Linked DNA regions of Drosophila melanogaster. The protein of the gene in region 1 interacts with the protein of each later gene in a pairwise test. Each region holds a gene or a part of one and is shown on either strand. Other genes may lie near its edges.

What was found. The genes of interacting proteins can lie anywhere in the genome.
Region 2: the proteins of CG18266 (region 1) and X11L interact in a two-hybrid assay, tested with the Drosophila melanogaster proteins (one large-scale study listed by BioGRID).

Annotation. Positions count from the first base shown.
Region 1 is NT_033779.5:5,595,156-5,599,188, forward strand, and holds CG18266 (uncharacterized protein), read left to right. Parts: upstream 1-1,677; 5' UTR 1,678-1,783; coding exon 1,784-3,244; 3' UTR 3,245-3,481; downstream 3,482-4,033.
Region 2 is NC_004354.4:17,597,665-17,605,612, forward strand, and holds the start of X11L (X11L), read left to right. Parts: upstream 1-1,943; 5' UTR 1,944-2,015; intron 2,016-2,326; exon of another isoform or gene 2,327-2,757; intron 2,758-3,108; 5' UTR 3,109-3,241; coding exon 3,242-3,640; intron 3,641-3,715; coding exon 3,716-4,255; intron 4,256-4,317; coding exon 4,318-4,431; intron 4,432-4,487; coding exon 4,488-5,429; intron 5,430-5,491; coding exon 5,492-5,807; intron 5,808-6,031; coding exon 6,032-6,171; intron 6,172-6,309; coding exon 6,310-6,315; intron 6,316-6,406; coding exon 6,407-6,772; intron 6,773-6,830; coding exon 6,831-7,307; intron 7,308-7,377; coding exon 7,378-7,518; intron 7,519-7,573; coding exon 7,574-7,645; 3' UTR 7,646-7,948. Other genes in the region: CG12991 (uncharacterized protein), read left to right, coding at 1-262, 347-520, 583-714.

The DNA of each region.
Region 1 (4,033 bases):
TATATATTTTCAAATGGATGTAGACTCGACGGGCCAGTCTGCGAGTGGGTCAGAGGTCACACATGGCGTATGAAATATGCGCCGCACTGGCCACAGGTAAAATTGTCACGTTTTTAATTAAACGGGCGCCCAAAGACCAACAACCAGCGCATCGTCCAATCGTTCAATAATCAATGGCTCGTCCGTGACAATAACACGGGTTAAAAATATAATTAAAACTCAAAATAAAACTTTTATTGGCTGCGTGCCTGAAATGTGTAACCGAAACATTTCATAATGGCTTAACCACTTGTCGGAATTTCATCGGCCAATGCAACAGTTGGCTCCGCCAATTCCCAGTACATTATTATCCAACAGAAAATATTTAAATACTTTAAGTCTAAGTACGTTATGGTCTCCAACGATTGCAGGGTATCGCCCAAGTCCATTAGATCTTTCGAGGGTCCATGGTTTGTTTTAAGGCGTCTGGAAACCGCCACCAGGTAGCGCTGATCAGCAATCTCGACAAGAGTATTTACCTCTTTATCTCTTGTTTTTCATATCTATATCTCAATCCAAGCAGCTGTGTAGAGGGTGTTCGATAGTCGAGAAACCTGACTTGTTTTAATTGAAATCGTGGAATACCGTGTACTTAGACCTGCAGCTTACAATAATTAATCGATATTGATTTTAAGCCAGAGTCCTTTCACTGTAGTTTTTTATTTTTGGCTAGCGGCTTTAAAGCAGCTTTATCTTTGACCTGATTCTGGAAATGGAGCACTGAGCCTATTGTAGATGACACACGCAACCACATACCCAGCCACGCCCACTTTTTGACAAGTCATTTGGCAGGTCGTTGAAAAAAGGGCCAACTTAATTGTGTCACTCACCGTTCAGCCTTAATTTGAGAGCCAAGATGATGGTGAACGACGATACAGCAATTAACGAGGTACAAAATCATTTCATTGTGTTTGCCAAACGCCGCGACCCAGAGCGCCCAAAAGCCAGCGGCGATAAGTTTTTTTATTACACCTGAGTCTGGGGGAGGAACCCAGGTGAGCTCCACACTATCTCAATGTGCGTGTGTGTGTATGTGTGCCAGGACTCATTAAAAACGAAAGAGACGCTCATTACCTGGCCAAGAGCAGGCAGAGAAACAAACGAACTCGCCGCCCTCATAGGACAACAAACGATTTTTGAGCCGGCGACTTTTCGCTCCAACACCCCAAAATTCACCCGCTGAAATTGAGGTTTATGTGGATGAGGATGCGTGTGGTGTTGGGTTTTAATTACCTTTGGTTTCATCCTTCGCGCCGTCATTCGGCTCGTTGTTTAAGTAATTGTTTGCCATTAGTTAAAATGTTTTCATTTTGCACCGGACTCGTGCCCGGACCGGACGCACATACGTGTGCATGTGGTATCTGGTGATGGCGGAAAAGATATCAAATTTGTAACCTGTCAGAGCGGAAATTCAATGAATTTCCATTTTCATATTTAATGATTTCGGTTTCTTAGTTAAACGTATTAAACAGAATGTTAAAATGCAGTCTCTCATAAAAACACTAACGAGCTTTACACTTTGGTATACTTAGATGTGACTCTAAATGGAATATTTTACTCTATTTTTCGACCACAGCAATCGGTGAACTTACGCTTTGATTGTCAGTCGTTGTGTACATTTTATGTTTCAGCAGTCTACAGACACAAAGCCGACACGACATATCGTCTCGAAAACTCGAGAGAAATCTTTCCCAATTCAATTTCCACATCCCCCACTTTTGTCGATCTTTCGCAGACTGCCGGAATGGCCTTTGTAGCGCGTCGGAGTAGCGATGGCTCGGTGGTGGATCGTCAGCAGGTGTCTGGTCGGGAAAAAGTACGTCCAGCTTCCCAGTCGGACATTAGTGATGAGGATTCGGAGTCGCTGCTGGGCTATACAAACCACACCTATGGGGCTCCCACAGTGAGGTATGTTGGCCAGGGTGAAGATCGTGAAGCGGTGGAACCTCAGCTAGATTATGAGGATTTTGGGGATTCTCTGGGGGATCATGCCGACAATTCGGAAAGCGAGACGGATTCCATTTTGAGTTTCTGCAAGGAACTGGATGAGGAGGAGGCCAACGATGCATTGCTAAATGGCAGAATGAGCTTCACAGACGAGAAGGCGAAAGTTGAGGATAAAGCGAATGCAGATGATGTGTTTCACCGGGTCATGAACAAAGGCGATGAGGCGGCTGCCACGGACACGGAGACCGTGATGAACTTTGATCACGATGTGCAGAGCCTTAGCTCCTTAGGCAGCTGCACGCCAACGGTGACGCAACGCGGTGAGGATGTCGACAATTTGGACAATATCAGCGGCAGGACATTTTTCAAGGAGGAAAAATCGCACAGCATTAACACCAGGACCTTTTGCAAGGATAACAATCTGGATGCGCTGAGCGGCAGGACCTTCTACAAGCAGGCCTCCGTAAAGGAGACTAACCAGGGCCAGATTTCCAGTCGGACATACAGCCTGAGTAGCTCGGGCAACAATCAAAACCATGACGCATCCTCGATGTCCACCTGCAGCTGGTCGGACATGTACCGCGGTGCTCTGCAGTCCACCGATGGATGCACCGGTATGCCCCCTCTGAGCCTGGCCAGCGTCGTCTCTGACTCGTCCACGTGCTACAAGCAGCTGGAGGAGCATAAGGAACGCCCTGGCCCGCAGGCCTTCGAGGACTGGAAGGCGCGAAAGGCCGCCGAGAAGCAGAAGAATCTGCTGGCTGCCAAACAGGAGCGCGAAAAGCGGGAGGCGGAGGCAGCACTGCGACAGAAATATGCCCAGGAGCACTTCCAGGAGTGGTGTCGTCGCAAGGAGGAGCAGCAGCAGCAGCAGCGGCAAAAGCAAAAGAAATCCTCGACCTCTAGCTCCAGTTTGGGATCGGTTTCCAGCTCTAGCACCGCCCCTACAAGGAAGGTGTCTCCCGAGAACACAAAGAACCGTCTGCAGAAGTGGGAGCAAGCCAAGCGGGAGCAGCAGCAACAGGAAAAACAACGCCTGATCCGACTGCAGTGCAACAAGCAGAAACTGGAGGAGGAACGCCGTCAGCGCCGCCAAGGCGCCTGGCAGAACTGGATGAAACAGGTGGACAAGCGGGCCAAGCCGGTTCCCCTCAATCAGGGCTTTGACACGCTGCGCGGTACCATATCCAACATCTACATCAATCCCGTGCAATGGGTGTCCAATATCGATCCGCAGGATTCGGGGCGCAGTCGTTAGAATTCCTTGGAGCGCTCTCACATTCGTTAGTCCATCGCCATTTCACGCTGAAATGCATGCAAGACCTATGGGGACGACTGGTGCAGGAGGACGGGAGGAGATCGCCTCGGTTGCTGGGCCCGCAAAATGATTTTAATTCTACTACTACACATTATACACGAATTTTGATTAGTGGCGGTGGATCCCACTTTGTTTTACCTTCGCAAGTTACTCAATAAACTACAAGATCGGCAGCTTTAACTGTAGTTTGGTTTATATTATATATCTCTTGATAGCCAACAAACAAGAATAGTTATTAATAGTTATTAACAAAATGTTTCACGCATTTCTAAATATGACAATTAAAATCGTAGAAGTGAAAGAGCTCATATTTGTGGATAGTGCGAACCCATTGCGAGAAGGTTAATAAAAGGCCAGCTTAGTGAAGCGAACCCGTAACGATAACCTTTGACCCGGGTGTATTATGGTTATGCTCCTCCACCACCCTTGGCCCAGAGCCTAAGGACACTGCACTTCCTTGTTGGCCATTCTGTCCCTTTATTCTGGCAACCATTTCCGTGTTTGTTTCAATGCCCATCCCATCCCATTCCATACTATCCACCCACAATTGTGTGCGTTTGTGTCAATTTCTGTTTTTATTATTTATTTGCCCGGTCCATGGGGAGTCGGCAGGTGGTGGAGCAGGCTTAATTAAGCTTTACTCCACCCACCCGGACCGTCCCAGTTTTATTTATGCAATTAACCAAAGCCTCGTGTAATATAGTCCCGTTAGGTAAAAATCTTTGATTA
Region 2 (7,948 bases), on another chromosome or scaffold:
GCCGTTCACCCTGGAAAATGCCAACAAGGAGGATGAACTTAGGCGTGCCGAAAGCGAGCATAGATCGCGAAAATCGAAGGTTCTATCCGCGGAGTATAAGCACATCAATCGCTACATCAACTTCTCCGGCGACACCAAGAGTCTTCTGACCAGATCCGCCTCCGCGGCGCCCAGCGTGGCGGGGGGCGTGGCCGGATCCGGGTTCTACGACGGAGGCGTCGGCGACGAGGGCAATATCTCATCCGAGGCACTGGCCATTCAGGTAGGTGAAAACTAATCATTGCTAAATTCGATATCATTTGAAAAATTGGTTTCAAAAGTAACATGCTTTTTTTTCCATTTCCAGCGAACGTACTTCCTGGATGCGGGTGCCATTTCGGCGATTTGCTTCACTGTCTTCGGCGTCTGCTGCACAGTGGGCACCATTGGGATCGTACTGTACCGTCGTCGGTATCTGAACAAACCGCAGGCGCTCAGCGAACCAGACTCGAGTGTCTATATCGATGATAGCACGATGCGGGTGAGTGTAAGGATTCGTTGACCAATTGCCAGTGGCGCTTGAATGTCCTATGCACTAAATAGTTCTCTCTCTTGATTTTGCAGGACAATTCGGATGAGATGTACAGCCTGGACAACGACTCGTTTCTCAATTCGCTGGAGGCGATGACAATACAGAACTACTGGACGGATACGGTCAAACATACAAAGCTTTAATCTCCGGCCTTCCCCGTTGGAAGTCCAATCCCCTCTATCATTTATTGTACGTCTTTGGTTCGATTTCGATTACGATTCTGTTTCGTTTCGCTGTTAAAATTCCATTCCTGATTTGACAACCAGACATCATAATCATTAAGTAGCGTAGTTTTTAAGCGCGTGTATGTATTTACTAATGTTAGGCAACCAAACGAGCAACTAGTTTAAGCCCAAAACTACCAAAATTATGTTTAGTGTACGTGTAGATCCTAAGTGCGCAATGTTTTTGTTGGCCTTGACTGTTAGTTAAAGCCTTTCCCTAACAACTTCCCCACTAACCCGATTTTTGTAAACCAACCCATTGTACTCGTATCTGTTAGTTAATTATTAAACCTTATTTATATTGTTGACTATTTTATCGCCCTTCCCAACCCAAGTCTAATTTTAGAAAACACTATTTATTAAGTTTCCAACTTTGTGTCCAACAATTAAATGCAATCATTCCTTCCAGTTTAGCCTATAGAGCAACTTTACACTGTAATTAATGTATTAAAAGCGAAGCAAGCAAACAACAATTAAAAGAAAACATCACACAACCACACACCGGTGTTGCTAGAATTTTTGGGAAAATAATCCGTGTCTAATTCCTAACTTAATTCATTAAGTTTTCGATGGAAAAACAAAACTTGCTGTTAAAATTTTAATTGCTTGATAAATCTTGAACGAACGAATTATTATCACTGAAATTCTGGCAAGACTGCAAGAAATTGTTTCAATATACACAAATATATAAAACGAATTATAAGCTAACGAAGAACAAGAAAAACTGTTTACTGCCACACAATCCTTGTCAATTTTGCTCATCGAACTTTTATACACCACTTGTACTTGTACTATCCGTTCGAATGTTGCAAATATTAAACGAAAAACAAAACCCAGATGGAGTACATTAATCATTAAATGCTAAACTGATATTATTCGAAAAAGTGTTATCAATTGGCGCGGGAAATTCATCGTACAAGGAGTGTTGGAAAAGTAGACGGTACCGCGTAATTAGGGCAAGGTACAGGAGAAAGGGTAAAGTCAAGTAAAGCTGGGGTGGAGAAGGAAACATATTTAAATATGTTTAAAATGGCTTTTAGCACCTACTTAGGTACGAATTGAATAGTACCCTCTAACGCTGCTCAACACTGTCCGGCTGTTCGCTGTCGATAGCAATCGATAGGCCATCGATGTTCTAGCAGAGACTATCTATATTGCTGCCAATCGCTCTGCGCCAATCGAGTTGCTGAAGGAGTAGTGCAATAAATATGAATTAAATGGTAAATATAAAACCGCGACAGGTGTTGTTTTCGTGCCTATTTGCTGGCCGTGTTGTTGTTGCCGCCGTTTCAGTTGTTGTTGCTCGAGTGCGCTGCGTGTGTGCGTCGTTATGCGACGAGTGTGTGCATGAGTGTGTTGTGTTGTGCGGTGCCCCCACCAAAAAATAACGAAACGAAAAGCAAAGGAGCTGCAAAAAAAATACGACAAATCTATTGATTTTTAACAATACGCACATGGATAGATACACATAACGGTAACGGGGAGTTTGTTTTTTTCCCACGCCTCCAAAGTGCTGAGTGATTGCAACAATCGGCGACAACAAAGGGCTAGCACCAGCACCACCATCGCCCCCTGGCACCACCCACTTGCACCACCCACCACACATCCTTCAACCTTCGCGTGGGTGGTTGTTGTGTCTGGCTGCAGCTTCCTGCGTTTGTTTTGCCTGCGCGAGGACTTTTGGAGGCCAAGTTTACGTGTGCGCAATCAACCACGGACACGGTAGCTCCGGAACTCGGAAACTCGCAAGCTCGGTCAGTGGCAACCGCGGCGGGGGGCCCTAAAAAAGGTGTCCACATATAGACACATGGACAGGCAATAGTGGGTTAATTGCCCGCATTGATTGCGCTGGCCAGCCAGGGGGTCACCACAACCAGAGGTTACCAAACCAGTGCAGCAACAAACCGAAGCTCGAAACAATGGAATACTTATTATTAGCTAAACTCAATTACATTTAACGAGGTGAGCTAGGACCTGTAATAAGATACAAATACACATGAGAATGATTAGGGAATGATTGGGGCAAACCCAATTTAAAGCAATAGGCTTAGGTCCAAAAATAACAAATCAGCAATTTTATAGATTGGCATTTTACTGTGCTGGTTCCTGTTGTCCGTATCGCGTATGTCTAAACACACCCGGTAATCCAGGTATTTCTATGTCGATTTAAATATATAGTACGCAGCGGCAAGGTATCCAGCAAAAGTACGTCATCGACACGACCACCTGTCCCTGATTTTTTTCTGGGCTGAGCTGCAGCGCAGTGAATCATTGCCGCCTTAGATCATCGACTAATCATCCATTCTCCCCCAGGCAGTGGCCCACAGTGAGGCAGCAATCGCAGCAGCAGCAGCGGATGCAGCAGCAGCAGCACTAGAGCAGTAGTTGTAGTAGTATCGAAGCCGCAGTCCCTCATACCTGGAGAATCAAAGTTGTTGGTGCAGCCATGAACTCAAACTCCTGCAGTGACAGCAGTAACGAGTCCATGGTCAATCCACCGCACATACAGATGAACTTTGGCCAGCAGGCGCAGCAGCAGCAATCGCATCAGCACCAGCAGCAGCAGCAGCAGCAGGAACGTTATGTGTGGGAGATGCGAACCCGTAGCCCAAATGTGACGCCAGCCAGCACGGTGCTCAATTCGCCGGATCTCAATGGCGAGCTGTCCTACGTTCCGCTGCAGGGTCTTTCGCCATCGGGCGGAGGTGTTCAGGGATCCGGCAGCTATGGTTCGAATGCGGGACGCGATTCTGGCAGCTATTACTACCAGCGACCGCAGTTGCATCAAATCCGACTGGGTAGGAGTCCGGGCAGCCAGTTTGAGACACGGGATGTCCTGCCACAGGTAATTTAACTTGGAGAATTACTTAGAGGCGTAGTTTCAGTCACTACAATGAGATTTTTCTGCTTTTTCTTTAAGGGATTGGCCAGCCCCGGCTCACCAACGGATGTGGGCAAGGCGGACGGTCAGTGCCTGCGTGATGGTGAGATCGTGGTGTTCGACGACATTGACACAAACTGGATGAACAAGGCATCGAGTGGCCAGCGTCCAGGCAGCAATGAGGATGTCCTCAAGGTGACCAAAATGATTGGACAGCTGCCAATAGCCGAGTACGAGGGTTCACCGCGACGATTTGGAAGTCAACCGAATACAAATACCATTACCATGGGTGGTCCTAGAAAACGTCCGCCGGGTTTCCCGCAAAGAGTTTCGCCCACCACCAGTGTCGCTAATAATGCAACTGCTGCAGCTAAAGCATCCGTGGGCAACCTTATCGATTTGGTCGACCACGAGGAAGAGCGTTCCGGGACGCTTCGCGAGAAAACACCTACTTTCGACTACCTGTACGAATTCTCAGAGACCAGAAAGGTGCTGGAGGAGTTCTTCAAGGCGAATCCGGAGGACGAAAAGCGGTACACGGATTACACCACGGAAAGTGGAGACGATGTCGCTAGCTCGGTGAGTACTACTACTTCCAAGAAGCCTAGAAACCCATTTAATATTGCATTTTGATTGACTAGCAGCCACAAGAGTACCCAGCCACGCCCATGGAGCAGGCATATATAGGACAGCGGTTGGCGAGAATACCTAAAGATGAGCTCTACATGGTTCACCGGTCGCCTACTAAAAAGCCAGTGAGTCATAACGAAATGAAATTCATTAAAATAGCTAACGATTGTTCGATTTCTAGCCCAGTGACCAGAATCCATCGACGGCCTACCAGGAGCATAATGATATTGAGCTGTACATTGATTCGAATAGCCGAAGCAGCGGCGATTTGGCGGACACCGAACTGGAGGCAAATCTGCGCCGACACTCCCGAAACTTTACCCTGTCTCCCGAGACGACGGATTACGATTCGAATTGCGGTGATTTGGACAGTCTGTCTAACGACATTAACTGCCCCACGGATTTTGGTAAACTGTATACGAGCATGCCTGTCCTAGAAGATGGCCTGAGCAGTGGCCACGCCTCCGACACGGAGAACAACGTATCCGTGGTGTGTGACAAGCAGCAATCGTCCCAATCTCAGCCCGTCCACGAGCACAACGGTAATGGCGAGCGGCTGGAGAACGACTACAATGTGATGAGCGCCAGCTTGGCCACATTGACCACAGATGCCTCGCAATCGGCGCTGATAAGCGACTTCGCCTCACTGCCCATGCCCCCGGCTCCGCCTCCATCATCGCCGCCCCAAATCGAGATCGCCGATGCAAGTGAATCCATGACCATGGTCCCAGATGCTGATAATCCACTGGACAGTCACTACGGTGCGGTTTATGCAGCAGCTTTGGGAGGTACTCACACAGAGAAGTCAGCGGGATCAGGACTGGGGGTGACACCAGTAACTGCGGGAGGATCTTTGCCATCGCAGGCTGCTTCGGAAATCCAGGAGGCCATGAAGGAGATACGTTCCGCCTTGCAGCGTGCTAAAACGCAGCCTGAAAAACTAAAATTCTGTGACGAAGTGCTGCCCACGGATCCAGATTCACCGGTTTGGGTTCCACGCAAAGGGACGACGATCTCGACGGCCCAAGGTGCGGCGGCGGATGAGGAACCAGACACCGACCTTGAAACAGATCGTCTATTGGGTCAGCAGAGGCACGATGAGCAGGATTTCTTCGCCGATCAGGTGAGGAATGCAAACTTACAGAGATATCAGCTCAAAATAATTACGAAATAATAATTTTACAGAGCCTGGCTGATAACAATGCCAATGAGGGCACGGATATTGCCAGCAATGGGCATCTAAATGGCACGTCGGACAACAACAATCCGAATCCTATGAATAATAGCAAGCCGCAAACCTACTCGACGGCCACCATTCGACAAGGCATCGGCACCTCGTTGACACCCAATTCGCCGGACATCTGTCAGATTGTGGGCACGACCGACATCTCCATAAGCTCGCCGGAAAAACTGCAGTTCACCAAAAGTCCCACGGGCTCTATTAAATCCCTGAAGGACTCTGCCAACTCGGACAAGAAGGCCAAATCGCGGAACAAAGAGGGTAAGTTAGCACAGTTGTCAACGCCCCTTGTTGTTCGTTTACTGATATGGAAACCGATTCAACATTTCACGCTGCAATTCAAATCTATTTAATGCTGACATCACGTAAGTCTCTGTTACCCAGCAGATGTTTAGGTTTATTAAACTACCCTTATGTGTATTAACAATCAGAAATGAAGACCATTAACGCACTTCGTAACTAATTTAAATAATGTTCGTTCTTAGGTCTCTTGGAACCCAAAGTTCTCATTGAGGGCGTGTTGTTTCGGGCCAGATACCTTGGATCCACTCAACTTGTCTGCGAGGGTCAGCCGACCAAGTCGACCAGAATGATGCAGGCCGAGGAGGCCGTTTCCAGGATCAAGGTAAGTGAAGTGAAAACCTGGTGATGCACACGAAAGCACATCCATTCAAGGAAACCCCGCTAGGTTATGCTCTATGTGTGTGTCTAAAAACTTTCTCGTTCGCTTTTCTCGTTCCCTGCTGCGCATTCCTCTCGATAGGCTTTGGTAAGCGTTCGTTAGCCCCTTTCAGTCGTCAAATGATAGCATTAAGAATTAAATGCATTATATAATATATGATTTGCTATTTTTTTACCAGGCTCCCGAGGGCGAAAGTCAGCCGAGCACTGAAGTGGACCTGTTCATATCAACCGAAAAGATAATGGTGCTTAACACGGATCTCAAGGAGATCATGATGGACCATGCGCTGCGTACTATATCCTATATAGCTGACATTGGCGATCTGGTTGTGCTGATGGCTCGTCGTCGATTCGTACCGAATAGTGTTGTGGATCCATCGATCACCAGTCCATTAGGTGATGTTCCCACTCCGGGCATAGGCGAGGAGGAGTCGCCCCCCAAAGAGCCACTCAGCAAGCACAATCGCACGCCCAAAATGATCTGCCACGTGTTCGAAAGCGATGAGGCGCAGTTCATAGCTCAGTCCATTGGACAGGCCTTCCAGGTACGCGAATATTAATAATATTATTGGCACGTATAATTAACAATCAAAACCTAACCAGGTGGCCTACATGGAGTTCCTGAAGGCGAACGGCATCGAAAACGAGAGTCTGGCCAAAGAGATGGACTACCAGGAGGTGCTCAACAGTCAGGAGATTTTCGGTGATGAGCTGGAGATCTTTGCCAAAAAGGAGCTGCAAAAGGAGGTAGTTGTGCCGAAGGCGAAAGGCGAGATCCTAGGCGTGGTGATCGTAGAGAGTGGCTGGGGATCCATGCTGCCCACCGTGGTGATTGCCAACCTGATGAGTTCAGGAGCAGCTGCCCGCTGCGGCCAGCTGAACATCGGTGACCAGCTGATCGCCATTAACGGCATGAGCCTGGTGGGACTGCCGCTGTCCACCTGCCAGAGCTACATACGCAATGCCAAGAACCAAACTGCCGTCAAGTTCACCGTTGTGCCCTGTCCGCCTGTCGTCGAGGTTAAGATCCTGCGTCCCAAGGCGCTGTTCCAGTTGGGTTTTAGTGTTCAAAATGGCGTGGTAATTATAAAATGCTGAATTTATTCTTCTTATTCTAATCCTTCTAATCATATGTATTTATTTAATGCAGATCTGCAGTCTTTTGCGTGGAGGAATCGCTGAGCGGGGTGGAGTACGCGTAGGCCACCGCATCATTGAGATTAACAACCAGAGCGTTGTGGCCGTGCCACACGATACCATTGTCAAGCTGTTGTCATCCTCAGTGGGCGAGGTATGACGCGTTTTTAAATTCGTTATTCTTATATTAACAATACCTTTCCAATCAGATCCTGATGAAGACAATGCCCACGTCCATGTTTCGTTTGCTCACCGGTCAAGAGACGCCAATCTATATATAAATATATATGCAACTGTTCACACGCCTACGCTGGAATCGAAAAACTATAAATTCGTCAACTGCAACTTGACCAGCTTAAAGTTACATCGATTCGCAAAGAGACCTTAAATTGGAATTTGTTTAGTCTTAAATTGTTCATTGATTATTTGTCTTTATGTATTCACATTGCAAGCATAATTGTAGTTAATTTAAATGAATTGCAAATGTATTAAGTCTACAATGAGATTAATTGTTCGTCGTCAAATCGTTCAGGTGTCCACAGCGACCACAACTGCAATAGAGAGATTACTATTACTGGAGTTAC